Linked DNA regions of Saccharomyces cerevisiae S288C. The protein of the gene in region 2 binds, or shares a complex with, the protein of the main gene of each other region. Each region holds a gene or a part of one and is shown on either strand. Other genes may lie near its edges. A codon is read from its position in the direction of its gene.

What was found.
Region 1: the proteins of UBP10 (region 2) and SIR4 are in contact, whole or in part, in a crystal structure (PDB 6RR0), measured with the Saccharomyces cerevisiae proteins. Residues at the interface, in NP_014213.2 of Saccharomyces cerevisiae: Leu117 (codon at 5,357), Ser118 (codon at 5,354), Thr119 (codon at 5,351), Glu120 (codon at 5,348), Leu121 (codon at 5,345), Ser122 (codon at 5,342), Thr123 (codon at 5,339), Glu124 (codon at 5,336), Pro125 (codon at 5,333), Pro126 (codon at 5,330); in NP_010513.1 of Saccharomyces cerevisiae: Leu969 (codon at 6,016), Ser970 (codon at 6,013), Lys971 (codon at 6,010), Trp974 (codon at 6,001), Glu977 (codon at 5,992), Trp978 (codon at 5,989), Asn981 (codon at 5,980), Ile985 (codon at 5,968), Asp1032 (codon at 5,827), Lys1064 (codon at 5,731), Arg1066 (codon at 5,725), Trp1068 (codon at 5,719), Lys1072 (codon at 5,707), Arg1075 (codon at 5,698), Phe1076 (codon at 5,695), Asn1079 (codon at 5,686).

Annotation. Positions count from the first base shown.
Region 1 is NC_001136.10:908,992-926,490, reverse strand, and holds SIR4 (chromatin-silencing protein SIR4), read right to left. Parts: upstream 8,921-17,499; coding exon 4,844-8,920; downstream 1-4,843. Other genes in the region: COX20 (Cox20p), read left to right, coding at 1-198; IVY1 (Ivy1p), read right to left, coding at 345-1,706; PCF11 (Pcf11p), read left to right, coding at 2,685-4,565; adenylate kinase ADK1, read right to left, coding at 9,337-10,005; HTA1 (histone H2A), read right to left, coding at 10,563-10,961; HTB1 (histone H2B), read left to right, coding at 11,779-12,174; CRF1 (Crf1p), read right to left, coding at 12,989-14,392; YDR222W (uncharacterized protein), read right to left, coding at 15,190-16,437; GTB1 (Gtb1p), read right to left, coding at 17,053-17,499. UniProt on the Saccharomyces cerevisiae protein: The proteins SIR1 through SIR4 are required for transcriptional repression of the silent mating type loci, HML and HMR. The proteins SIR2 through SIR4 repress mulitple loci by modulating chromatin structure.
Region 2 is NC_001146.8:287,607-295,202, reverse strand, and holds UBP10 (ubiquitin-specific protease UBP10), read right to left. Parts: upstream 5,706-7,596; coding exon 3,327-5,705; downstream 1-3,326. Other genes in the region: serine/threonine protein kinase NPR1, read left to right, coding at 1-2,066; YNL184C (uncharacterized protein), read left to right, coding at 2,320-2,646; mitochondrial 54S ribosomal protein uL11m MRPL19, read left to right, coding at 2,534-3,010; SWT21 (Swt21p), read right to left, coding at 6,136-7,209; KAR1 (Kar1p), read right to left, coding at 7,594-7,596. UniProt on the Saccharomyces cerevisiae protein: Deubiquitinating enzyme involved in telomere and HM loci silencing, which is the repression of chromatin structure which leads to a stop in the transcription of nearby genes.

The DNA.
Region 1 (17,499 bases), on a different chromosome or scaffold from region 2:
AAAAGTTTCCAGATCGCACAATTGGCAAAGGAAACCGTGGCGAAAAAGGAAAAACCAATGCTCCATAATGTCCCTCATGACCCATCTCTGCCGGGGCAATGGGAGGCCGCCAAAAATGAAAAGCAGAGTCAGTTTGAACAAAGTAACCAGAATTTATCTCAGGCCTCCTCTGAGAAGAAATGGTACAAGTTCTGGTGAAAAGAACGAGGGGGAAACAGAAGGTAGAAGCAGGGCCTTTTAACCGTTTTCCTATGTATATATGCAACATTTCTCCGAAAATACTATAACTTCAATTGTTCACTTTCTCCATTTCTATATAAAAAGCATACATAGAGTTACAAATTTTATATATTACTTGACTGGTCTTGCATGCCGTCCGTATCGCTGCTGTGATTGTCATTATCTTCTTTAATGGACAATTGTTTAAACGTTTGTGTGGTTTCCTCGGCAGAGTTTCTCGTAGGCGGTAAAGAAAATGAATTTTCTGTTCCCATCAAATTGTCTGTATCCTCATCTTCGCCATTTTTGCCGCCGCCATTGTTTCGTACCCCGTCCTTGTTTGAACTTGACTGTGAATGATTCGGTGTGGATACCGTTGAGGACCCCTTGGATTTGGGTAAAGATGTTTTTGATGTGGAAGGTTGGCTGGTTCCTTCTAGTAGTTCATTGAGCACCACGTCATTCCCACCCGTTTCCTCATCGCTGTTGTATGCTTCTCCAGCAGTCTCTCCATCACCACCGATGGTCCCGTATGGCCCATCTGCTTTTTTGCTGAAGGGGTCGTCTGCATCACAAAGTAGTTCGTCTAGCCCGCCTCCAGACCAACCTTTCCTTGCAATATTTTCAGAAATTTCCACTTGTGCCCTAGATACCGTGGCAACTTTGCTGAGTACTTTGTTGCATGTATTTTCCACAAGTTCGTATGAATCCATGTAAAAATCGTGCTTTAGTGTCTCCAGTTGATCTAACCTTGCTTGCAAGCTAGAAAGGCTCTCTCGGTATGAGATTAAATTCCTTATTTTTCTTTTCGAGATATCGAAGTTATGTCTTTCCTGCAATTTCAATTTTAAACTTTGCTCTTTGCTTTGTGCTTTGAACTTGTTCTCCATTATCTTGGTCTGTAATTCGAATTCATCAATATCATCAATTAAATTATCTCCCAACAAGTCATTGAAATACTTTGACATTATAAGCTGATGATTAGATAAAAGGTAGAATAACCCACTGGCACTCAATAGTTTCTCCGCCGTTTCATCATTGCAACCCTTCAACTTGGCAATGTTTTCTAAGGAATGGGCAATTTCTGCCCCATTCTGAGATGTCTTTAATAACGAATCCGAATAAGCATTCGAGTTCCTGAGTAATGTCGATAGGGCTTCCTGGGTCTCTTTCACATCTCTCTTTGTGATTAGCGTTTGCAAGTCGTTTATTGTGCTCGTACCAGAAGTTATGCTCGATGCCCGACGGGCCTTTGAATACACTTTGGATGAACGTAAATGGTTCATGTCGTCCAGATGGTCGTTATTTTCTGAGCCAGCACTGCTAGCCACTGGTCTTTTACTATTTACAATTGGGTAAAATTCAGATAGATGAGGCGCGTATCTGTCGGGAGAGACGTCAAAATGGTTACCGTTGTCCCAGTCAACCCTCAGTCTCTGGTCACTTGAAGGAGATCCCTGCAATTGCTCCGTATTATTGTCAGGCATATCCGATTTCTCTTCCTGTTACTTTCTTTAACAATATTTTATTCCTTGGTGAAATTTAATTGACCCTTTATTCAGAATATATACTTCTATTGTATGGATATGGTTTTTTTCCACTTAATGTTTAGCATAAATTTCCATCTCACCCTTTTCTTGTAACATATCGCCCAATATTTTTTTCTTTTGCCCGCATTGACCATTTTTTCCTGTAAAACGAGTAATGTGAGCAGTAGAATAAGTGTATATCATCCGTTAAATAAGGCGCAATCTACCGAAGTTTGAGATCTAACTCAAGTTTTTATAAATTAGATACGTTTTTCCTTACTATTCTACATGAGATGGCCATTAGCATGAGATGACTTCAATACGCACTTCTGTTGGAACGCAGATAGGATGTTTACACTCGTCTGCTCTATTCTTTGTACTTTCAATAGAGCAAAGCAAGTGGTACCAATGAAGAGAAGGCCCAGCTGTTTTATTCCAGCGGCGAAGAAGTCTAGCCTATTCCTAATGTATTAGTACAGCTATACAGAACTTTCTCAGTCTAATTTTTGATGTACTTTTATACATAGATTTACACACTTTTCAAAACGTACTTACGTAGTCGGTTCAAGGGATACACCAATTTAGCCAATGAAGCTGGGCCCCAAGTGATCAGAGTTTCGTAATTGAGCTAGGATTTGCTGCTTTTTATTCCCTTTATCACCAAATGGTATTACCTAGTGCATCTAAGTTTTAGTTTACCCGGGCGAATTTTTTTTAAGGACTCGACGCATTGGATGAGAACTTGGCCTAAGGCATGGGAAGAAAGCGAAATTTCAAAAATTAATGAGACAATGTTGTTCTACTGTTAAGGGTTTAGTAGTTTAAAAGTCTCTCTTTCAATTTTGCATTGCAAAGAATTACCAGGACAATTTTCGGAGCAGTTAAGAAAACTGTACTTGAAAACACTAGGTCTATTTGTAATACTCTCTTTTCATTATGGATCACGACACAGAAGTTATAGTCAAGGATTTCAACAGTATTCTTGAAGAATTAACTTTTAACTCGAGACCCATTATTACCACTCTCACGAAGTTAGCAGAAGAAAACATTTCGTGTGCTCAATATTTTGTTGACGCCATTGAGAGTAGAATTGAAAAATGTATGCCTAAGCAGAAGCTATACGCTTTTTATGCCTTGGACTCCATTTGTAAGAATGTTGGCAGCCCATACACAATCTACTTCAGTAGAAATTTGTTTAACTTGTACAAAAGAACATACTTATTGGTGGACAACACCACAAGAACAAAACTCATCAATATGTTTAAGCTTTGGTTGAATCCTAATGACACCGGCCTGCCTCTGTTTGAAGGCTCAGCACTGGAGAAAATTGAACAGTTTTTAATAAAGGCCAGTGCTCTCCACCAGAAAAACCTGCAAGCAATGTTACCAACTCCGACTGTTCCCCTCCTATTAAGAGACATTGATAAATTAACTTGTTTAACTAGTGAAAGGCTAAAGAATCAACCAAATGATGAAAAATTAAAAATGAAACTGTTGGTTTTATCTCAGTTGAAACAAGAACTGAAAAGAGAAAAACTAACTCTCAATGCTCTGAAACAAGTTCAAATGCAACTAAGGCAGGTCTTCTCACAGGACCAACAAGTTTTGCAGGAAAGAATGAGGTATCACGAACTTCAGCAGCAACAGCAACAACAGCAGCAACAGCAACAACAACAACAGCAGCAGCAGCAGCAGTATCACGAAACTAAGGATATGGTCGGTTCTTACACACAAAACTCTAATTCAGCGATTCCATTGTTTGGAAATAATTCAGATACAACGAACCAACAGAATTCTTTATCTTCCTCTCTTTTTGGTAATATTTCTGGCGTTGAATCTTTTCAAGAAATTGAGAAAAAAAAGTCCCTAAACAAAATCAATAACCTCTATGCATCTCTTAAGGCTGAAGGGCTCATATATACTCCACCAAAAGAATCCATCGTAACGCTTTATAAAAAGCTAAATGGACACTCAAACTACTCTCTTGATTCACACGAAAAACAATTGATGAAGAACCTGCCAAAGATACCCTTATTAAATGATATTCTTTCTGACTGCAAAGCTTATTTTGCCACGGTTAACATCGACGTTTTGAATAACCCATCCCTGCAGCTGTCCGAACAAACTCTTCTTCAAGAAAATCCCATCGTCCAAAATAATCTTATTCACTTATTATACCGATCCAAGCCAAATAAATGTAGCGTGTGTGGTAAGAGATTTGGCAACTCAGAAAGTGAAAAACTACTACAAAATGAGCATTTGGACTGGCATTTCAGAATAAATACAAGAATTAAGGGATCACAAAACACAGCAAATACAGGCATAAGCAACTCTAACTTAAATACAACTACCACAAGGAAAAATATTCAATCAAGAAACTGGTATTTGAGTGACTCTCAATGGGCAGCCTTCAAAGATGATGAAATTACCTCCACAAAGCATAAAAATGATTATACTGATCCGCATGCCAATAAAAATATCGATAAAAGTGCCCTAAATATTCACGCTGATGAAAATGACGAAGGCTCTGTAGACAACACTTTAGGAAGTGATAGAAGTAACGAGTTGGAAATACGGGGAAAATATGTTGTTGTACCAGAAACTTCACAAGATATGGCCTTCAAATGTCCAATTTGTAAGGAAACCGTTACTGGCGTTTATGATGAAGAATCTGGTGAATGGGTTTGGAAAAATACTATTGAAGTGAATGGCAAATATTTCCACTCGACATGTTATCATGAAACGTCGCAAAATTCAAGCAAATCTAATAGTGGCAAGGTCGGTTTGGATGACTTAAAGAAATTGGTCACAAAATAAGAGCAGAACTGCATATATACATTTAAATTTAATAACTATATATTATATTAAATTCTTTGTTCTTGGTATTTGATGGGTTGCTCATTTGTTTATTTTTTTTTTTTTTTTTTTTGCTTATGTGTCCATTATATTATATGTAATTTTACATATGTAGCCAAAAGCCCAACTAATCATTAAAATCGATTAAAGACCGTAAAGTAAATTGTTCATTATAGAAGAAAACGACAAAGAAAAACAGGGTACACTTCGTTACTGGTCTTTTGTAGAATGATAAAAAGTCAATACGGTTTTATCTCCTTATTCACTTGAAAATCTTTTTCCATCAATTTGTTAATTTTAGCATCTTTTTCAGATATTTGACTTCTCGCATTTTCAAGACATTTCTTTGTAAAAGTTAAATCACCTTGAAGTGAAGTTATTCTAATTTCATTCCTCATAACTTCATCTGACAAAGACCGAATAATTTCATTTGCAACAGCCAATTGTTTTTCCTTTTCATCCAGCGCCGATGCTGCTTTCGACAAAACGATATCCACAAAGGAAAGACCATCTTCTTTCATGTCCTTCGAACATTCGGTGACACTATCCTTATTATCAATTTCAAGTTCTGTTTTTTGGGTTGATGTGTACATATTTGATTGTTGAGTACCAGTTTGTGAATGTGTTCCTAAAACGTCAACACTAGTTAAAATTTCTGTTGTATTACTGTCTGTTATATCGTCGAGTTGTTTCACTCGACGATCTTCAACGATTGGAACCCTTTTTCCAACAGAAAAATAGCCGTAGGACGCAGGTCTTGAGAAAGAGAGTGAGATGTTTTCTGATGCGTGCTTCCCATTTCCAGGGATTATTTTTGCTTTGTTAGAATTAAAAATACTGTCGAATTGCTTCTTTTCTGGTAGGGTTTTCGTTTCCATTGTGCTCAGCTGCACCAAAGACTTCACATCTGGCGGAGAAGAAGGCTTCACATTTTTAACCATTAACGGTTTTTTTGTAATTTGCAGTATATCCTTAGGCATAATTTTGGCATCTGCCATATGCTCGGGCTCGACCACATGTGGTTTGACCGACGTGGATATAGAAACAGGTTCACAGGACTTCTGAATATCAAATCCCATGTTGGAAACAAATCTCTGAGTCTTCATAAATGACCAAAATCTGGCTTTTTTTGCATCAGGCTTGTTCTGTAATTCGTTGTAGTAAATCTTAATTTCAGAACTCATTGGGTAATCTTCTATTTCACCTTTCAGTATAATGATGTCACTCTCTCTAAAATTATTGGAAATTGCTGATTTAAGGTTGTTAGCAAATATATCTTTAAGTAACTGCATTTTTTCGTTAATTATTTGTCTATCACTGTCGGAAAGCTCCGAAGGGAACTCATCAACCAACGAAACGGAAATAAGTTTCAAATTTGCAAGCCATTCTTGCCTCCAAGAGCTTTTTGAAAGGTTCTCCTTCGTGTTTTTGGGTTTGCTAGAATTAGTATCACTATGCGACACTCTTCTATTGCTTTTAGTAGGCGTGGTACTTAGCTTTGTTTCTTCGAATCCTAATGGAGAAGACACGGTTGGAATTTGGGATGGTTTAGCGGAAGAAGAATTTTGTTCTTGGCTATGTTTCCCTATATTGATATTTTTATTGGTCACATCATTTTTTTCAGTGTTATTTGTGTTTTCAAATGTAGAAACTGCATATAATGGCAAATATTGTAATCTGTCCTTCTTGTGCACTTGTTGGTAAAAGAAAGCACTTGATGTTTCATAGTTTTCAACAGAGCAAATGTCGTTAGTCACACTAGTTAATGGATTGCCACTTAAATAACTATGTTTTGGGATCCCTTGTTCAATAAGGTCAGTTATTGTTTCTTTATCGTATGTCGTTTTATCAGCTATCCTCCAAAGAATGTTTTTCGTCAATTCACGATCAGATTTTCGCCAATCCAATACAGGATCAAACCATTTGCCTGCCTGAATTTGGTCCTTTTCAGCACTTGTATCTAAATCATTAGTTACTTTGATTTCATTTGATTCACCAGAGCTTAAACTTTCCAAGTCAGTTAGGCTATCATTATCTGAAGAAGAATCGTCTGAGTCGGACACGTATACCAGCTCCATTTTTCCCGGGTGAGTTATTATCGTATTCATTCTCCCACGGCAGATCTTCTTTTTTTCAATTTGCTCATCCTCTGTATGATTTGCGAAAGATTTCTTTGAAGGTTGAGATAGAGAAACTGGAAAATTATCGCTATACTCATGCTTACTTGCACTAACTGGCTGAGATAGAGACACCTTATCAGTCTTATTTTCTGGCTTTTCAGTGGAAGCGATAGTTTCCAAAAAATTGGCTTTTTCTTTTGACAGAGCATCACTAGAAAAAGGTTTGCTTTCACTTTTAATGAAAGGAGCCTTGAGTACGTTTGAAAACAAATTTAATAAAGATTTGCTTTCAACAGCCTTGGAAACCGGTTCATCCTTTGATTTAACATTCTCCCGGTCAATCTCTGAGGATATTTTTGGAGCAGATTCAACCTGAAAAAGGTCATTAGTTCCAATTTTTATATCTTTTTTTTGTGTAACTTTATGTGTGGAAGGAAGAGCAGTGTTTTGTGATTTATTTAAAGGGTTTTGAATAGTTTTCTTAGCCTCATTTGATGATTCTTTCGTATGCAAAATATCTCGCACAATTTCCTTAGGCTCTAATTTCTTTTGGATGTTTATTGTACCGTTTGAGATATTTGGAGTTCGCCCTTCATTAGGCTTATGCTTTTTCATAGGATTCGGTATTTCTCCTAGCTGGGGCCTCTTTGATGGTGTAACATTCAGGGTATTGTTTCTCGAATCAATGTGGGATTCTCCTTGTACTTTTTGAAGCACTTTTCGACCATCTATTCGTACACTCTGTATCTGCTTTGTGGTTTCTTCGGTTACTTTGTTTACGTGAGCTTCAGTGCTCATGATTTCAGGCGGCCTCTTACCAATTTTCTTGTTTTCACCATTTTTATTCTTTGCAGAAGTGTTCATATCATTTTTCTTTTCTGTGCTTCGAGAAGTAGAGTTATAGTTGTTTTCTTGGCCTTCATATTCAACAAGAAAAGCAAGTTTTGTAGTTTCTTCATCTCTAGTGGAAAAATTTCGGCTGTTTCTACGCCCTTGAGGTCTGTCAGCTGGACTTTTCGACAAATGAGGTGACTTTAAGATTTCCATCCTCTTGAGGTCGGCGTCTTCCTTCATTTTTTGTTCAGATGTTATAGGCTGATGCTTCGAAGGTGCAAGTGTTTTCTCATCGTGCAGTGTTATTTTATCTTGATCAATGGCGACTTTTTTTGGAGATGGAACGATCTTCTTTGATGTTAGAGTTTCTGTCGTGGCTGACGTCCCATTGGTATCTAAGGCCGATGCGACCGTACTATTTGCACTATTCTCATCTAATTTTACTGGTTTTTCTTGATTTATTTCTAAACGCTCGTTAGTAGATTCCTCATTTATTCCATACACTTCTGTTTGTATGGCATTCGGTTTTGCAATTCCAGGACTTCTTGCCTTGCTCTCCTCCGGTGATATACCACTGTCACCGGCACTAACCTTCGGAACTGATAGTGAATCAGAATGGGCAAAGTTTTTACCTATATTCAACTTTTCTTCTTTTTTTTCTTCTACGGTATCTTTCCTGATAGATTTGTCCTTGGTCAAAGAAATCACAGAGGCGCCGATGTCTGCTGATCCTTTTTTAAGTGGCTTCTCTAAAACAGGCTGTTCGTTTGCCAAGTTTATGCCTAGAATCTCTTTAGAGTAATCCCTTATTTTCTCTTCACTTAGTAAGCTTTTTACTCCTGATAAAAATGAGTTATTGGTTTGTGATGTTGATATCGGTACTATGGTACGTACAGGCTTTGAATTGAAGGTAGAAGTTTGTTGCTGCGCATGCCGGGAAAATGCTGTTTGTTCAAAACTTGCTAGAGACCTGCTAGCATCATGTGAAGGATTGTTTGATTCAATTCTTCCTGCTGACGTTTTGGACCGAAGAAGGGAGAGTAGTTTGCTGTTGCTTATTTTTTCCAGATTTGAGTGAGGAAAAGAATTATAGTTATTTTTTTTCAGTGGTGAGGATTTTGGCTGTTGCAACTGTTTATGGGAAGTCGGTTTTACATCACTTGGTTGATGAGGTGAGGTATGAATTGCGGTTGACGGCCTTGAATAGTTTTTGCTTTTGGCAAACGTGAATAATGGAATTTTAGGTGTCTTCACTTCATTGGATTTTTCTTCTCTTTCAGGAATTTTATCATTCGGGGTTACTGGTTTTTTAGTAAACTTGGGAGTGCTGGACCTATTGGGTGTCTTATTGTCATTTGGCATTGGCTGTTTTCTTCGCTTTTTTGGTATTGTGGGTTGAAGCTTCCTTTTTTTTTTTATCCCCTGCAAAACGATGTCCAGTTAGAACTCTGACTGAATTATAAAACCTGAAAAGCGCTTATTTCGTTATAGGTTTATAAAAAGCTTCACTATTACTGTTATACCGTTTTTGTTTATGTGATGCGCTTTTGTTCATCTATTTAGTAATATGATTTGCGTTCGTTCTCAACGATAAAAATATTGACTAAGTACTTAATGGCAGTGCACATGTTTAAGGACGTTATAGCCAGTTACAAACACTTATGTTATTATTTCATTTATAGTATACTGCGGATATATGTACTCACATACAAAAATTTATTATATTTTCATTAATTTAAAAAAAAGAAAAGATATTTAGAAGACATTGCGCAAGGTCATTAATCCTTACCTAGCTTGTTCAAGATGTCAGCCCAAACAGTAGCAGGAGGTTGGGAAGCATCAACACCAGCCCAGATACCGGTCTTTTTGTAAAAGTCAACAATTGGTTCGGTTTGAGCATGGTAAGCAGCTAATCTCTTCTTCAAGGCGTCTGCATTGTCATCAGATCTTTGAACTAAAGCTTCACCGGTGACGTCATCCTTCATGTCTTCCTTTGGTGGGTTAAAGATCTTGTGGTAGGATCTGCCAGAGGCTGGGTGAATTAATCTACCGGTAATTCTGGCAACCAACAATTCATCATCAACCTTCAATTCGATGGCTTTTTCCAAAGGAGTTCCTTGTTCTTTCAACATTTGGTCCAATTTTTCAGCCTGAGGAATGGTTCTTGGGAAACCGTCCAAGATGAACCCATTCTTACAAGCTGGATTGTTGGTCAATTCATCCTTGATCATGTTAACCATAATGTCATCAGAGACTAAACCACCTTGGTCCATAATTTTCTTTGCTTCCAAACCTAATTGAGTGCCCTTTGCGATTTGAGATCTCAACATGTCACCAGTGGCCAAGTGAGCGGCATGGAAACGCTCTTGCAAATTTGGAGCTTGAGTACCTTTACCGGCACCAGGTGGGCCAATTAGGACCATTCTAATGGATTCTGAGCTAGACATTACTGTTATATTTGATGCTGTGTGGTGACTTTACCAGAGAAACGTTAATGTTTCTTTATTAAAGCTCTCGTTTCTGATAAACCAGGTAATCCATTTCAGAAATTTATGCGTATATATATATACAAATATGCGTAATAAAACTAGCCAGAGTGAAAAAGTCGAAAATCAAAAAAAAATGGGCGAATAAGGACAGAAGCCGCGGGCTGCTGCGGACAGTTCTCCGTGACAGGATCGCGCAATCGTGAGCTTTTTTCCTTTGGTTGTGAAAATTTCGTCACACTATCAAAGTGAACAAAGCACAGAATGTGTTTGCTACTCAATCATGTTCAAGTAAGCAACAGTGCCCAATGAACCTAAACAGAGCAACAGAGAAAACAGGAAGACACAACAAAAAATTTATATCATGCATGACATATGTTACCGTTAATTATATACCCAATAAATTATATATAGAAAAATAAAAAGGAAAAACAGAAAGGTCTAATAGACACTTAATATAGTTACAATGGAGAAGCAGTTTAGTTCCTTCCGCCTTCTTTAAAATACCAGAACCGATCTTATAATTCTTGAGAAGCCTTGGTAGCCTTGGCAGACTTCTTTGGCAACAAGTTTTGATGGATGTTTGGCAAAACACCACCTTGGGCAATGGTAACGTTACCCAATAGCTTGTTCAATTCGTCATCATTTCTGATAGCCAATTGCAAATGTCTTGGAATAATTCTGGTCTTCTTGTTATCCCTAGCAGCATTACCAGCTAATTCTAAAATTTCAGCGGCCAAATATTCCAAGACAGCAGTCAAGTAGACTGGAGCACCAGAACCAATTCTTTGGGCGTAGTTACCTCTTCTTAGCAATCTGTGCACTCTACCGACTGGGAATGTCAAACCAGCCTTAGCAGATCTAGATTGAGAAGCTTTAGCAGCTGAACCAGCTTTACCACCTTTACCACCGGACATTTTATATTTTATATGTATGAAATTTGTTTGTTTTGAAGTTGTTTATTCACTGAGAAATAACCAAATCCGTATGATGATGTAGTATCAAGAAGAGAAGTACAGATTGGAAGTAAATAGATGATGGTTCAACAAGACCAGAAAATCTACAAGCTGATTAGGAGTCTTATTTATATATTTTTTAGGTCAAGACTTATTGCTAGTATTTACGATCCACTGGCTGGCTTCGTGAACGGGGAAGGGGGTGAGAAAAGATTTTGAAATCAACAAAGTGGGCAATAACAAATAACAGCATGAGAAACCACATATCTCTACGGGCGTTTCTTCAACAACGACGAGTTAACTATTGTGCTCTTTTTTTGAGCCACCAAATACACTCCATTCCAATAGCTTCGCACAGTGAGGCGAAAATTTTGGAACAGCGCTAATGAATTATTTGTGAGCTCGGCGAGTTCAAATTTGAAGAAAACGCGGTTGGGTCGTTAACTATGGTTAGACGCTCAATGTCGCCCGAAAGGGAAGGCTGTTCTCACTTTTTCGCGCGTTGCACCCTTTCTTCCGCGAAAAAATGAGAACGATGGATTTAAAATCAAGAGAATTGGCCTTAGTAGTGGCAAATACTACCTTGGTTGGTTATCTTGTAACGATTGGTAAGAAAGGGGCATCTCTGTTTTCTTGATGTATATAAACAACATGATTTGATCATCTCAGATGGTCAGATTTATTAAAGACGTTTCTCTTTCCGCATTTTCGATTATTGTTATATTAAATTTATCCTATATAGACAAGTCAAACCACAAATAAACCATACACACATACAATGTCTGCTAAAGCCGAAAAGAAACCAGCCTCCAAAGCCCCAGCTGAAAAGAAACCAGCCGCTAAAAAGACTTCCACTTCCACTGATGGTAAGAAGAGAAGCAAGGCTAGAAAGGAAACATACTCTTCTTACATTTACAAAGTTTTGAAGCAAACTCACCCTGACACTGGTATTTCCCAAAAGTCCATGTCTATCTTGAACTCTTTCGTTAACGATATCTTTGAAAGAATCGCTACTGAAGCTTCTAAATTGGCTGCGTATAACAAGAAGTCTACTATCTCTGCTAGAGAAATTCAAACCGCTGTTAGATTGATCTTACCAGGTGAATTGGCTAAGCATGCTGTCTCTGAAGGTACTAGAGCTGTTACCAAGTACTCTTCCTCTACTCAAGCATAATGAAATCACTTCCTTTGGTTATAATTAATATTATTATTTATATGGGTATATAAAAATTAAAGTAAAGTAAAAAAAATTGTATAATAGTTTAATAATTTTAATGATTATAAGATATTTACTCGGTTGTAAAATTGTGTTCTCGAAATTACAAATGGTCTCATAGAGGGAATGCGCTTATGCGGCAAGGCAGTTTACTTGTAAGACTAATTATAAGAAGAATAAATAGTGTTGCTTATTAATGACTCAGAAAAGTTTCCACATGATATTTATTAGCTTTCGAAACTTCAGAGCATTGGCTCGTGTGAACAATACTAGATTTTTCCTCAAATTTTAATTCGTATTGCAGTTGCTAACTATTACAATTTTTGTTTATTTTATGCCTTGGAGATTGAACCCTCTGTTGTGATTAACTTCCTGTAAAAACTCCACGCAAGAAACAAAATATAAAAATAAAAAAAAAATTGGTAAAAAAATGAACAATAGAATACGCACGTATAAAAAAATACTAAAAATAAAATAAATGCCACCGACTCTATAAGTACACAGCAATAGTAATTAAAAAAAGACAGATGTCGCTGACTGGATCGTCAGCTGCACTTCAGTATTCCTTGATCCTCTCTCAAGTGGATCCATCCATTTCGGCCCCTAAATTTTTCTCCATCTCATCATACGATATTCCAAGTTGATCTTCGCTGACTAAGTAGGTTTTCCTACTATTCTATGACAATTCAAGTAGTAAAGTGCTTCTATTTTTTCGCAAACGATCATATTTTCCTTTAAAAGACGATAATGATTCTTCTGGAATATCAAATAATCACTCGCCTATGAGCTCAATATGGCCATTGGATGCCTTCTCTACTTCGAGTCCGCCTATGTTTAGAAGGTCGGCTATCATAGCATCATTATCAAATGTTGCATCTCCTTTTTGATTTTCCCGTGAACTTACTGAGCTTGAGCATGAGCTCAAACTTTCAGGAGTATTTATGTCATCACTCAATGGGTACAGCGATTTTGTGCACAACCCATCGATAACACTAAACGGTTTATCACTTAAAGACCAAACGTATAACTTTGGTACTTTTATTCCAATTCTTTTAGAATCCAATATTTCGCAAGCTTTATGGCCAATTTTCTTCCTTTTTCGATCTGGGGTTGGTAAGCTCTCGTCTTCATCTGTTGATTCATCATCTCTATAAGTGACCTCATCAATGTTGTAATCACTATCATAACTATCATTCCTTGGGCCTTCCGAAGAACATGTGAGGTTGGATAAGTCTTCTCTTGAACTATTATAGAGGCAATCAATATCCTTTTTCCTTGTATTAATAGCGACGTTGTCTAGACTAAAGGTGCGATCAGGTCCATCGAGCTCTACTTCGTCGATTTTATGCACATGCTCGTTGAGATGAAAAAAGCTAGACACATCTAATGTAGAAAAATGATTGCATTCACTGAAATGACCATCATCCAAGTTAAGGGGCGTACGGTCCTCAAAACAACTGCTACTATATTTTTTTTCGAGTGGTCTTGGATTTTTCACTCCCTTATCCGTACCATCCATTGGTGTCAATATCACGGCCTCATCAAAGTCGACATCTGATTCCGTTTCTGGATATTGGTGTGTAATACCTCTATTATTATTTATCGATACTGTTTCGCAACTATCGATGTGGTTGTCTACTAAAATATCAACACCAATGTCCTCTTCATCTTCATTAGTTGTTGAAGCCGAAGGACTGTGGTATTGTCGGTGAGATTCACTTTTACTTGTTGGCAAACCGAGCAGTACTACAGCCGAATTCGCCCCGAAGTTTACATCGCGCTTATTACTGACATATGTAGTATTGCCAGCTGACGTGAGCTGGTCATTAAATATATTATCTGCTTCTGTCTTAGAGCTGCTGCCAAGAGACGTCTTTTCCTCTACCTCGTTGGTGTTTTCCTCCCTAGAATATTTATAAGAATTTTTTTTTTTCTGTCTATTACTACTTTCTGGTTTTAATCGTTTAGCACTAATATAGCTACTCTCAAAATCCGAGGCCTTACTTATAGAGGGGTCCCAAAGAGCATCAAAGCTGCCATCATTATTGGATGAAAGGACGACAGTTGAAGAGGACGACGAAAAGGAAGCAGCTGTACCTGTCTCTTTTGGCTTTTTTTTATTTGGACTGTGTGGCTTGCGCCGCACGGTACTGTTAACAGGCGCACTAAGCAACATTTTAAAAGACTTTTTTATTCCGTACTATACCGCTGCTGTTCAGTTAAATGGTAACCTTCTTATAACTTTCTAGTGACCGCAATAATTATATTCCTTCTTTTAAGAAATTTCTCGATACAATTATAGAGGGCTTTTGACTCATTAATCTTACTGGAACCATTGACAGATTAGTCCGAAGAAGAAAACTCTAAAAAATCCGCTAGTAAGATTCAACAAAAAAAAAGTCTGCTTGCTATGAAAGTCTGATTTCTAGAGTACACACCTCTATAGCTACACTCTCAACTGATTGCTTCACTTTTTGAAAGAGGAAGAAGGACAAGAACTGGATTCACAAACTCAACTACATCTCGGTTTATCCGTTTAGACCAAGGTTTTATATAAGGCGAGGTAGAGTTCGGAAAAGGAAACTTTCATCGACTTCCCTTAATGATTATTGATTCCCCTTTGCTTTCTCTCCCCAACATTTGAAATATGATTTCTTTTTATTTCGAAAATGCCATTCTTCTCGTTCCCGTGATGTTTTCAATATGCATGCGGCAAGGGGAACATGATATTTCCGTTCTATGGCTTACGCAAGTAAGAAGCATGGCGCAATGATGCAATAGTCCATGGGGGAAAGTGTGGCCTCAAAATGAAAAAAAAAAGTGATGATAAATTAGTTATTAGGTAGTGATTATGTAAAAAAATTCGATTACACATTAATTATTAGGTAAAGTTGGTAGAAGAAACAGGAGAGAAAAAGAAGAGAAAAAAAAGGACAAAAAACGAATTTCATGTGGAAGTGTTCACGCTTTTGTTCAACTAATGAAGGTGCTCTCAACGATAGAAATACCTTTCTCGTGCTTATATTTAGAAGGTTGACAGTATTGATAAATGAAAGGTTTGATGCTCACAATTTTCTGAGCTAACGACCTGACCATGCTTGGTAACTCACCGAGAACGTCGTATCGATTAACCAGCCTCAAGTCGTGTTCTGAAAATCCACCGGGGAACTTGATAGAGGTTGGATATACCCAGCCGCTTTCCTTATCTGTACTCGTAGCACGGAACCTAACATGACGTTTTGGGCTCTGCACAGAAGAACCAATAGATATCAGTTTGTTTTTTTCAGTAATTGACCAAACTGTTACGGTGACGTTATCATGATCTCGAGGAGTAGTGAATTCAATTGCTAAAACAGAGTAGTTTTCGCTCTGAAAACATAGGAAATTCCATTTACTGGCTGCTTTATTCGGCAAAAGACCTTGAACAGCGTCCAGATAAACGACAGGAACATCAGTTAATGAAATATTTTTATTTTGAAAGTCCCCACTATTGAGTTTTTTATCGTAGGAAATATTACCATTACATTTACCTCTGGGCACAAAAACATGTCTGATCATTTTGTCTGAGGAAACGAATTCGTCACTCATCGAGATTTGTTTGTCAAAATAATAATTGCAACCGTTGGGGTTCATCTTAAAACCTTGAAACAAATCCACCAACAAATCGATTTTCAAATTTTGAATTGTATTGTTACATGTTGGTAAATCACATTTGATAGATAACTGGCCAATGGAACCTAATTTTTCATTTTTGTTGCTCAAAAATTCAAAAATAACATTTCTAGAGACAAACTTTAATGGTTGAAATTCAGCTATGTCATCCAATTTAAAACTTTCCCAAACGTCGTAGTCAGTATTATTACTTTCTGAGCCAAAAACCTTGAAATTCAATTGGAAGCCTTTATAGATACCACCCATAACCGTAGAATACAGTAATTGAACAAATCCACACAAGCCTGTATGCAAATCTGTGAAATATAACGTTTGGGTCTCGACTCTGGTCTCCATCGATTTTTTCATCACTCTGAATAAACCTCTACCACCATCTGTCTTGTTACTTATGGTGTGTTGGTAGCCCGTTTCACTATCATTGTGACAATACCACTCCAATGGTTGGATGTCATTAATAAGAGTATAGTTCTTACTCTTACTTACCGGTTTTTTGTAATCTACCTCTTTAATAGGCGCAAACTTTATCTTATCACTGCTCGATTCAAGCATCACTAAATGAGTCTCTATGTATGTACGATGTATCTTATACGCCCTCACTGTCAAGAAAAGACAATACGAAGTACGGCGGCAATTGTCACTCAAGAAATTTCTTCATTTTTATATGACTATACATCGTAAACTCAAGCCCAGAGAAGTGAGTCTCCAGTAAACACTGTTCGTTATATCCATCACATTTAAAATCCGTAGGCTTAAGATTGCCAAAACATATGCATACAAATTCCAGTAGTAAACATGATTTTGGAATTCACTGTAATAATCTGTGAGACATCTTGGAAACCGGAAGAACAAAGATGAGAAAAAAAAAAAAAAAAAAATAAAAGCCGCATAAACATCGGCTAGACGGAAAAATTAGCATTACGTCTATGACTTAGTTCTCCGAAAAAAATACAAGCCGTGTGGGGTGATTACGCCGTACCCTTCTTTTCGCGTTATTCCAACAGGTCGTACAGAACTATCAGTATTTGGAACGATATACTTATTTATCGTCTTTTCGCGTTTTGGCCGAGGGAAATATTGCTTTTGTTGCGGAAAAGAGTATCACGGCACAGCATCGGCCTTCCTAGTTGTTTACTTACTAAAAAAGCCTAACTACTCATTTTCCAGTCATTCACTTAAATTGAACTTAGGGGGCTCGTATTCGAAAGTCTTGTTGCAGCCTAGAGGACCAACGACATCGAAGATGTAGTTGCACTTAGTCGCTTCATGTACACTCCGAATCTTGAATTTGTCGCTGCACCGAACAAATACAGTAGCCGATCTGCGCGGACCATTCCAGCACTGGTCTCCATTTTCGTATTCTAGTACCAGACCATTATTCAGTTCGTTTAAGTTCCCGAATACGTAATGTTGCATGTTACCGTCATCGTCCTGTATAGCTGCTAAGTTTGAAATCAAATCACTCTTCTCATCATATGTGGCCTTTAAATGTTCTGCGTATTTTTCCATGTTTAAGTCAACATTAAAACCTGATGTCTTAAAACGACCGATCAAAACTTTTTTACCGTCAACCTTATCCTCAGCTTGATATATGACACCTTCGGTCATTGGACG
Region 2 (7,596 bases):
ATGCAAACTTTGCTCACACTGCATCATTCTACGGCACAAGTGCACAAAGTAGAGATAGATTTGGATCCTTAATAAACGATCAAGGTACTGCAGGACTTTCCTCACATGGTGGTTCTTTTGCTGCACAGAACAGAATCACAAGTAGATTATCTACCACGTCACATACTTCAGGAAGGGCCATTCCTTCTTTATCATCAAGTATACCTTACTCCGTGCCAAATTCTAACAAAGATAACAATAGCTCGAATAGCAACAGCTCCTCTTTGTCTTCTTCGTGGCTCGAAACATATGCAGGCGGTATGCCCAATAATATTTCTGCAATCGATTCAAATGTTATATCCTCCCCAAAAGTAGATAGCGTGGAACCACGTTTTGTTATCTCCAAACAAAAACTCCAAAAAGCATCGATGGATAGTAATAATGCAAATGCCACTCAATCAAGATCTATATCCCGTTCAGGTTCATTCTCTTCACAGCTTGGGAATTTTTTCTTTTCCAAAAACTCAAAAGAATCTTCAAATTCTAACTCTGCAGGCATGTCTTTTTCTGCCAATTCCAATGGTCCTTCTCCAAACATTAAGAATCCCAATGTTACCAATGGTTCGACGCCTATCCCGAAGCCTATCCGCGCAAGACAAAGCAGCATATATTCTGCATCAAGACAGCCAACTGGTTCCTATACTGATAACTTTTACGGTTCCCCCTCATCTGTACATGACCACTTACCTCCAAGTCAAAGTGTTCCAAGGTCACAACATTCTTCCATCGGTGATTTAAAGAGGTTCTTCAAAAAAAGTTCTAACAGTAACCTTTCCTCGAATAGTAACAACGTGATCCCGAACGGATCACCTCTTTCTAGCGGAATTGCCGTTCCGTCACACTCTCATTCATCGTCTCATTTTGCCGCAGGGAATAACTCATATTCCACTAGTTATAACGGAAATGGAGATACTATTTATTCTCATAGTCACGGCGGTTCAGGAATTCCGTTCTCAAAAAGGTACATCAAAACCGGTGCCGATTTAGGCGCTGGAGCAGGAGGTTCTGTCAAATTAGCTCAAAGAATTTCAGATAACAAAATATTTGCAGTGAAGGAGTTTAGAACTAAATTTGAAAATGAATCCAAAAGAGATTATGTCAAGAAAATTACATCAGAATACTGTATTGGTACAACTTTGAATCATCCCAATATCATTGAAACAATTGAAATCGTGTATGAAAATGATAGAATTCTCCAAGTTATGGAATATTGTGAATACGATTTATTTGCTATTGTAATGAGTAATAAAATGTCCTATGAAGAGATTTGTTGTTGCTTCAAACAAATACTTACTGGTGTACAATATTTGCATAGTATCGGCTTAGCTCATAGAGATCTAAAGCTAGATAATTGTGTTATAAACGAAAAAGGTATTGTAAAATTAATCGATTTTGGTGCTGCTGTGGTATTTTCATATCCATTCTCAAAAAATCTTGTGGAAGCAAGTGGAATTGTTGGAAGTGATCCATATTTAGCACCTGAAGTCTGTATATTTGCGAAGTATGACCCACGTCCCGTAGATATTTGGTCTTCTGCAATCATTTTTGCATGTATGATACTGAAGAAATTTCCATGGAAAATTCCGAAATTAAGGGACAATTCATTCAAACTATTTTGTTCCGGACGTGATTGCGACTCCTTAAGTAGCTTGGTTACAAGAACTCCTGATCCACCTTCCTACGATGAATCGCACTCAACAGAAAAGAAAAAACCCGAAAGCTCTTCCAATAATGTATCAGATCCTAATAATGTTAATATCGGGCCACAAAGATTGTTGCACTCATTACCAGAAGAGACTCAGCATATTGTTGGACGTATGATTGATTTGGCGCCCGCATGCAGAGGAAATATCGAAGAAATCATGGAAGATCCTTGGATCCGTAGCATTGATATGTGCCACTTGGTTGAAGATGGATTATCGTTCAAAGTGGTTAGAGGAGAAGACCATCATCACACACAAGTGGATCAAAGTGAAGCACATATTGCAGGCCTAGAAAAGAAAAAGAAAAAGCAAAATAATCAATAAATAAGCGTCCCCACTTTTATTTCTTTTCCAAGCATTTGTATATAACCTTTTTTTATCCTATTTGAGTATATGTTAAAATACAATGTCATATTTACTTCTGTTAAACTAATTTCATATTTTACCGTTCTATAGAAGCCTAAATAGATTGACCTCCTGTTCATAATCTACTATTTTATCAGAAAAATGTAAAAGCTTAGTATGATAATAATTAATGGAAAAGTTCGTTAAAATATCGCGCCACTAATTAATAATAATGAAGCGGGTAACATTAATTGTCTTACCAAGGCGACAATTCCCTTTTCTAAAATTTCACAGCAAAGAAGCTTTAGAAAGTGCAGTAAATCTACAACTCATAAGAAGGAAAAAAAGCGTGAACATTCAAATCGACAGCGTAACCTTCTGTATTTATTTCTGTTTGTTGTACTTTCGAACTCTCGAATACCATAGAGGAACTATTAGTCTCCATAATGTCACAGGCAGCAAAAAACGTGATAGTAAAGCTAATAGTAGGAGCAGGCCAAGCGGCACCATCACCTCCCGTGGGGCCCGCATTGGGCTCCAAGGGTATAAAAGCCATTGACTTTTGTAAGGAATTTAATGCAAGATCAGCAAACTATCAGCCAGGTGTACCGGTTCCAGTATTAATCACAATAAAACCTGATAGAACATTTACGTTTGAAATGAAATCTCCACCAACCGGATATTTGCTGCTAAAAGCTCTTAAAATGGACAAGGGACATGGACAACCGAATGTGGGGACAATGTTAGGCAGTGCACCTGCCAAGGGACCAACCCGTGCTTTAGGAGAGTTATCGCTGAAGCACGTTTACGAAATAGCCAAGATAAAAAAGAGTGATGAAAGGCATAGTTTATTGGAGATGGAAGGTATTGTTAAATCAATAGTTGGCGTTGCAAAAAGTATGGGTATTAAGGTTGTACCTTGATCTGTAAGTAGTGAAAAGACAAAAAAGTACCGTCAATTTCGAGAAATTTTCAACAGACCTTCCTTCTTCTTTCTACTGATCTATTCTGTAAATATGTATATAAGTTTTAAATTCTCTTTCTCCCGTTATGTTAGCAAAGCTCGGTAGTACTGAAGCTATTCTGAGTAAACGCTTCTCCAACTCTGTATACTGAGAGTTGTTTTATAAGTCAATAAAGACCGGATATTTATATGTATATATTGATTTGGTATAATAAAAATGAAATGCTAATAAAAATGCCTATGAAAAGAGGAAAATCCAGGAATATCGAGTTTTTTCATTTGGTGAACTTCCTTTTTTTATTTTTTTTCCATTTTTTTCTGTTATTTTTCTTGCTATTAATCTTCAATGGGCGGTTATTTGGTTCGTTAACAGCCTGTTCCTGTTTGGATTTAGAGGTAACATTACCAGTGGCCATGGCAGATTTCGCCAATGGCAATGGAACCGATTTTGGAGTTAGCCTCGTGTATAGGAGATAATATGCGTTGGGTTCCTTTAAAACGTCCCTTTCAGATATTATATTAATATACTCGTCGTCGTAAGTGGCCCAGCTACCGTCTGGTTGCTTGCAGTGGGCAATGTAGTGACCTGAAGAAAGGGAGCGGCCCTCATGAACCACCACGCTTAATAGTTGGTATTTGACAGGTAGCTCTTTACTCTCACAATATTCCGTCAAATCTAAAAACATAGGATAAGAAACAGCTTGCTTCATTTTTGATGAGGACGTGCCATTGAATCTGAATTTTTTCAGATGCACAAGTAAAGTTTCAGGAGCCCTTAATATTGAACTATGCTTCACGGCGTTCGTGGTCTTGTGACACTTCTCACAAACGTAACCCTTTTGCTCCTTGTCAACCTTGATTAATTCGGGATTGAAGAAATCTTTAATTGATTTTTCAATAGAAAATCTGCGGTTGGCTGAACTTAAATCACTGGCAGCGGCAAATGGTGAGCCATTGTTTAAATTGACAGATGAAGAGGATGAAAGAGATGGTTTTGTGGCAGCATTGGAGGTAGTGGTAGAAGTGGTGGCTGAAGTGCCGTTAATGCTATCACTCGACAGGTCAGAATTTGGATCAAGTTTTTTCTTCCCTTTCAAGTGCAACGATAAATCGTAAAATGGTTGTTCTGTTTTAGATATACTGCCACAAGATTTGCAAGTAACGATCTGCTTTAAAAGACCACCGAATATGTCATATATTATCGATTCTATAAGTTTATGACCCTTGGGAACAGAATCTTCCTGTAATCTTGACATCAGAGACATGAAGTACTCATGTGAATCTTCCTGCTGCCATTCGCTCATCATACAATTAATGTCATCCAATCTGGAAATCAAATGTTTTGGATTAATGTAGGAAGCTGAAACGTTCTTTCTAGGGTTTTTTGAGACCGGTAACCACATTTTTTTACTTGTTTCAGCTAAAGTATAGGAAACGGAATTTTTTGAGATGGTGCTATCGTATTTCCCCATTAGTATATCAAAAAGATAATGTTGTATCGAAGGAATGTGTAACATAGCCTGTACAGCAGCATTTGTGTAACAAGTAACACCATGATTCAAAAGGCCACGAGGCTTCAAATTGGTGAATTTGTCGCCCCAATTTTTAACAATTCTAGTAGAGTTTAAAGAACCACGATCATTGATATTTTCATTGAATTGGTAAAAGTTTGATAGATTTGATATTGTAACCGGAGGGGTGATTGACCTAGATTTATGTTTCAGCTCTTCTTCCTCTTCTTCCTCCTCCTCTCCCTTTGGATTCCTGTTTCCATTTTCTTTGGTGTTGTTTACTGGTTCGTACCGATTTACTTCCACTGTACTATTTTCCATTAAATCTTGATATAAACTCTTTTTTTCGCCTTCAGAAATTTTGGAGCTGGAATCGTTCTCCTCTTCTTCAGGGAGCTCTTTTTCCATAGCACTAGAATCATAATCCATGTCATCCTCATCCTCGTCGTCTTCTATTTCGTCATCACTGCTAATGCTTGTAGACAGTTCCTTTCTTTTTTCCTTTTCATTCTCATTAGATGAATCATCAATGGTTGCTAATGGAGAACCCAAGTTTTCACCAATGTCTTCACCAATGTCTTCACCGATGTCTTCACCGATGTCTTCACCGATGTCTTCGCCGATGTCTTCACCATCGCCCTTATCTGCGTTGTCGCGTTCCTTCAAACTAGCTTTTCGGGGTTCTACATAGTCTCTTGCCTCATGAAATATTTCACCCTCTTCCTCTTCCTCTTTTCCTACTTTGTCATCTTCCGAAGAAGAGGAAGGAGGCTCCGTAGAAAGCTCCGTAGAAAGCTCCGCTGACTTCTTGGCACCAGTAGCATCTGCAGCATCTTTATCATTTTTAGAAGTATACAACAATAAAGCTTCAGCCATAGATTTAGGAACAGTGTTGGTTTTCTTTCCGTTTGGCCTGTCTATCAAGTTATTTTCTTTTATTTGCTTGGATTCGGCCGTTGCAGCAATAGCTGTGCTATTACTATTGTTATTATGCTGTTTTCCTATCACAATATACGAGCTATTTTCCGGCGCGGCGGAAGTATCATTATTATTCGATTTGTTAGAGATCATTGCAGCATTGAACTGCAGGGGATTTGATAGGATTCTATCTACCAAAGGTTTGATCGATTCTTGAGTGGTCATAGTCTGTGATTGTGATATGACAATAGGACGGATTTACAGATACTATGAGTTGTAGATTCTTTCCGTTAGTTTTTCTATGAAATATTATGTGCAGTACAGAACAAAAGAGGCTTCAGACACTATGCATGCTCCTGTGTGCAGTATATGATGCTTAATAGCTTCTATGAAACAAATAAAGGACAGAAGCGGGGATGGAAGACTCTGTTAATGCTTTACAGGGAAGTTTTTCCCGATGGTGGCACTATATAAAAATAAGAACTTTTTTCTTTTCTTTTGGGGATTTTTTTCGATGCGAAAAAAATTTTTTGACGGCATGAGGCAAGAAGTGAACAAAAGAGGTGGTGTCTGGGGGATGCAATTTAACTTCTTACTTGTGCGCGTTCATCGGAGAAAGCTGGCCGGGTGATACACGAATACGGGTTTGCCGTTTTTAGCCGCCGAACCTGCATAATGAAATTGTGCCCCCATGAGATAGGGCGAACAGTTCGGGATCCCCAGGACAATTCTTCACTACCGTGGCAGGAATAGTAGAATCAAGGTTAGTGCGCCACTCTGACTCTGGCGGGATAGACGTGATTAGTGGGTCTTCAACACTATTGTGTGAGGGAACACCTCCAAATTCCACAAGGTCTCGACCCCAGTTCAATATTGTTCCCTGCGGCGTCCCCATACTTAGTCCGTAAGCCGTATCTATATATGCCTTCAACTTTGCAGAGTTGTGGTGGATCCGAAACGGTAGGCGCAATACGTTAAGCTCGTGCTGCAGGTTTCGCCGATCGTAAATACTAATCGCGTCACTGTTGCGTCTGACAACGTACACGTAACGCCCGTTATCGCTTGTAAGGATTTGTACAATCCCACCTGCAACTGTGCGGGTGTAGTTCAGTCTCTCTAGTCGTTGATGACGGCAGTCTACCTGAAACATTTCATTCGCATAACTGCCACACAATAGAGATCCTCTTGAGAGAGCTTGCCCTCCCATTGGTTGCTCTTCAAAGCAAGATATAATGCTTTGTCTTCCCTTGCTTGCTTTTTTGGTACTCTGGTTCATCCACACGGCATCTCGTCTGCTCTTGTCGTATATCGCCACTTTGTTACGGCATGAGCCAGTGTATACACGAGACTCAACATCGATTTTCACACTGTATACAGTTTCGTATTCTCCATTTATTTTGTTCATCGTGTCATAGCTGAGGATACACTGCCCGTCCATCAAAGAGTATAGTTGTAGAGGGAAGTTTTTTCCTCCAACCACGATTCTGTCACCAGCTAACCTGTCGGAATTCTCGTTATAAAGCGTGTAAAACGGGTCTATTGCACATGAAACAATAGACTGGTTTCTAAAAAACCTTGTAAATGGTAGAAGGAGGTTTCTGTTTAGCTTGTCCGTATTACTTTCCTCCGGCACTAAATATTGTCTGATGCCAAAATCATTATGCACAGAAACAAACGATGTACCATCACATGACCAAAAGATATCTTGACATATTACCTTCTTTTCCATTCTGAAGTCGTCTGTCATATTGATATATGGTGATTCTCCTAGTCGTGGATACTCGTATCCACTTCGATCACTTTGAGTCCTTTTTAACCATTCCTTATCTTCTCTTTTCCATACATTCGCTATCGTGTCAGCCTCGAACACTTCGCCAGTGTCGCAATACGGAATTGCATTCATTCTTTCATCATTTTTTCTATTCAAGGACTCATAATGCCCTTGTACCATCTATGTTTATGGAATATGCGGTCTGTCCACCACCGATTTTTAAGTGCACGCTTTTCTTTTTTTGCTTAATTTTCAGACCGTGATAATACTCTCTTTAAAACGGAAGAGAACAGTTATTGCCATAACTGTACACACTTCTTCATGTACTAACCTTTATATGGTTTA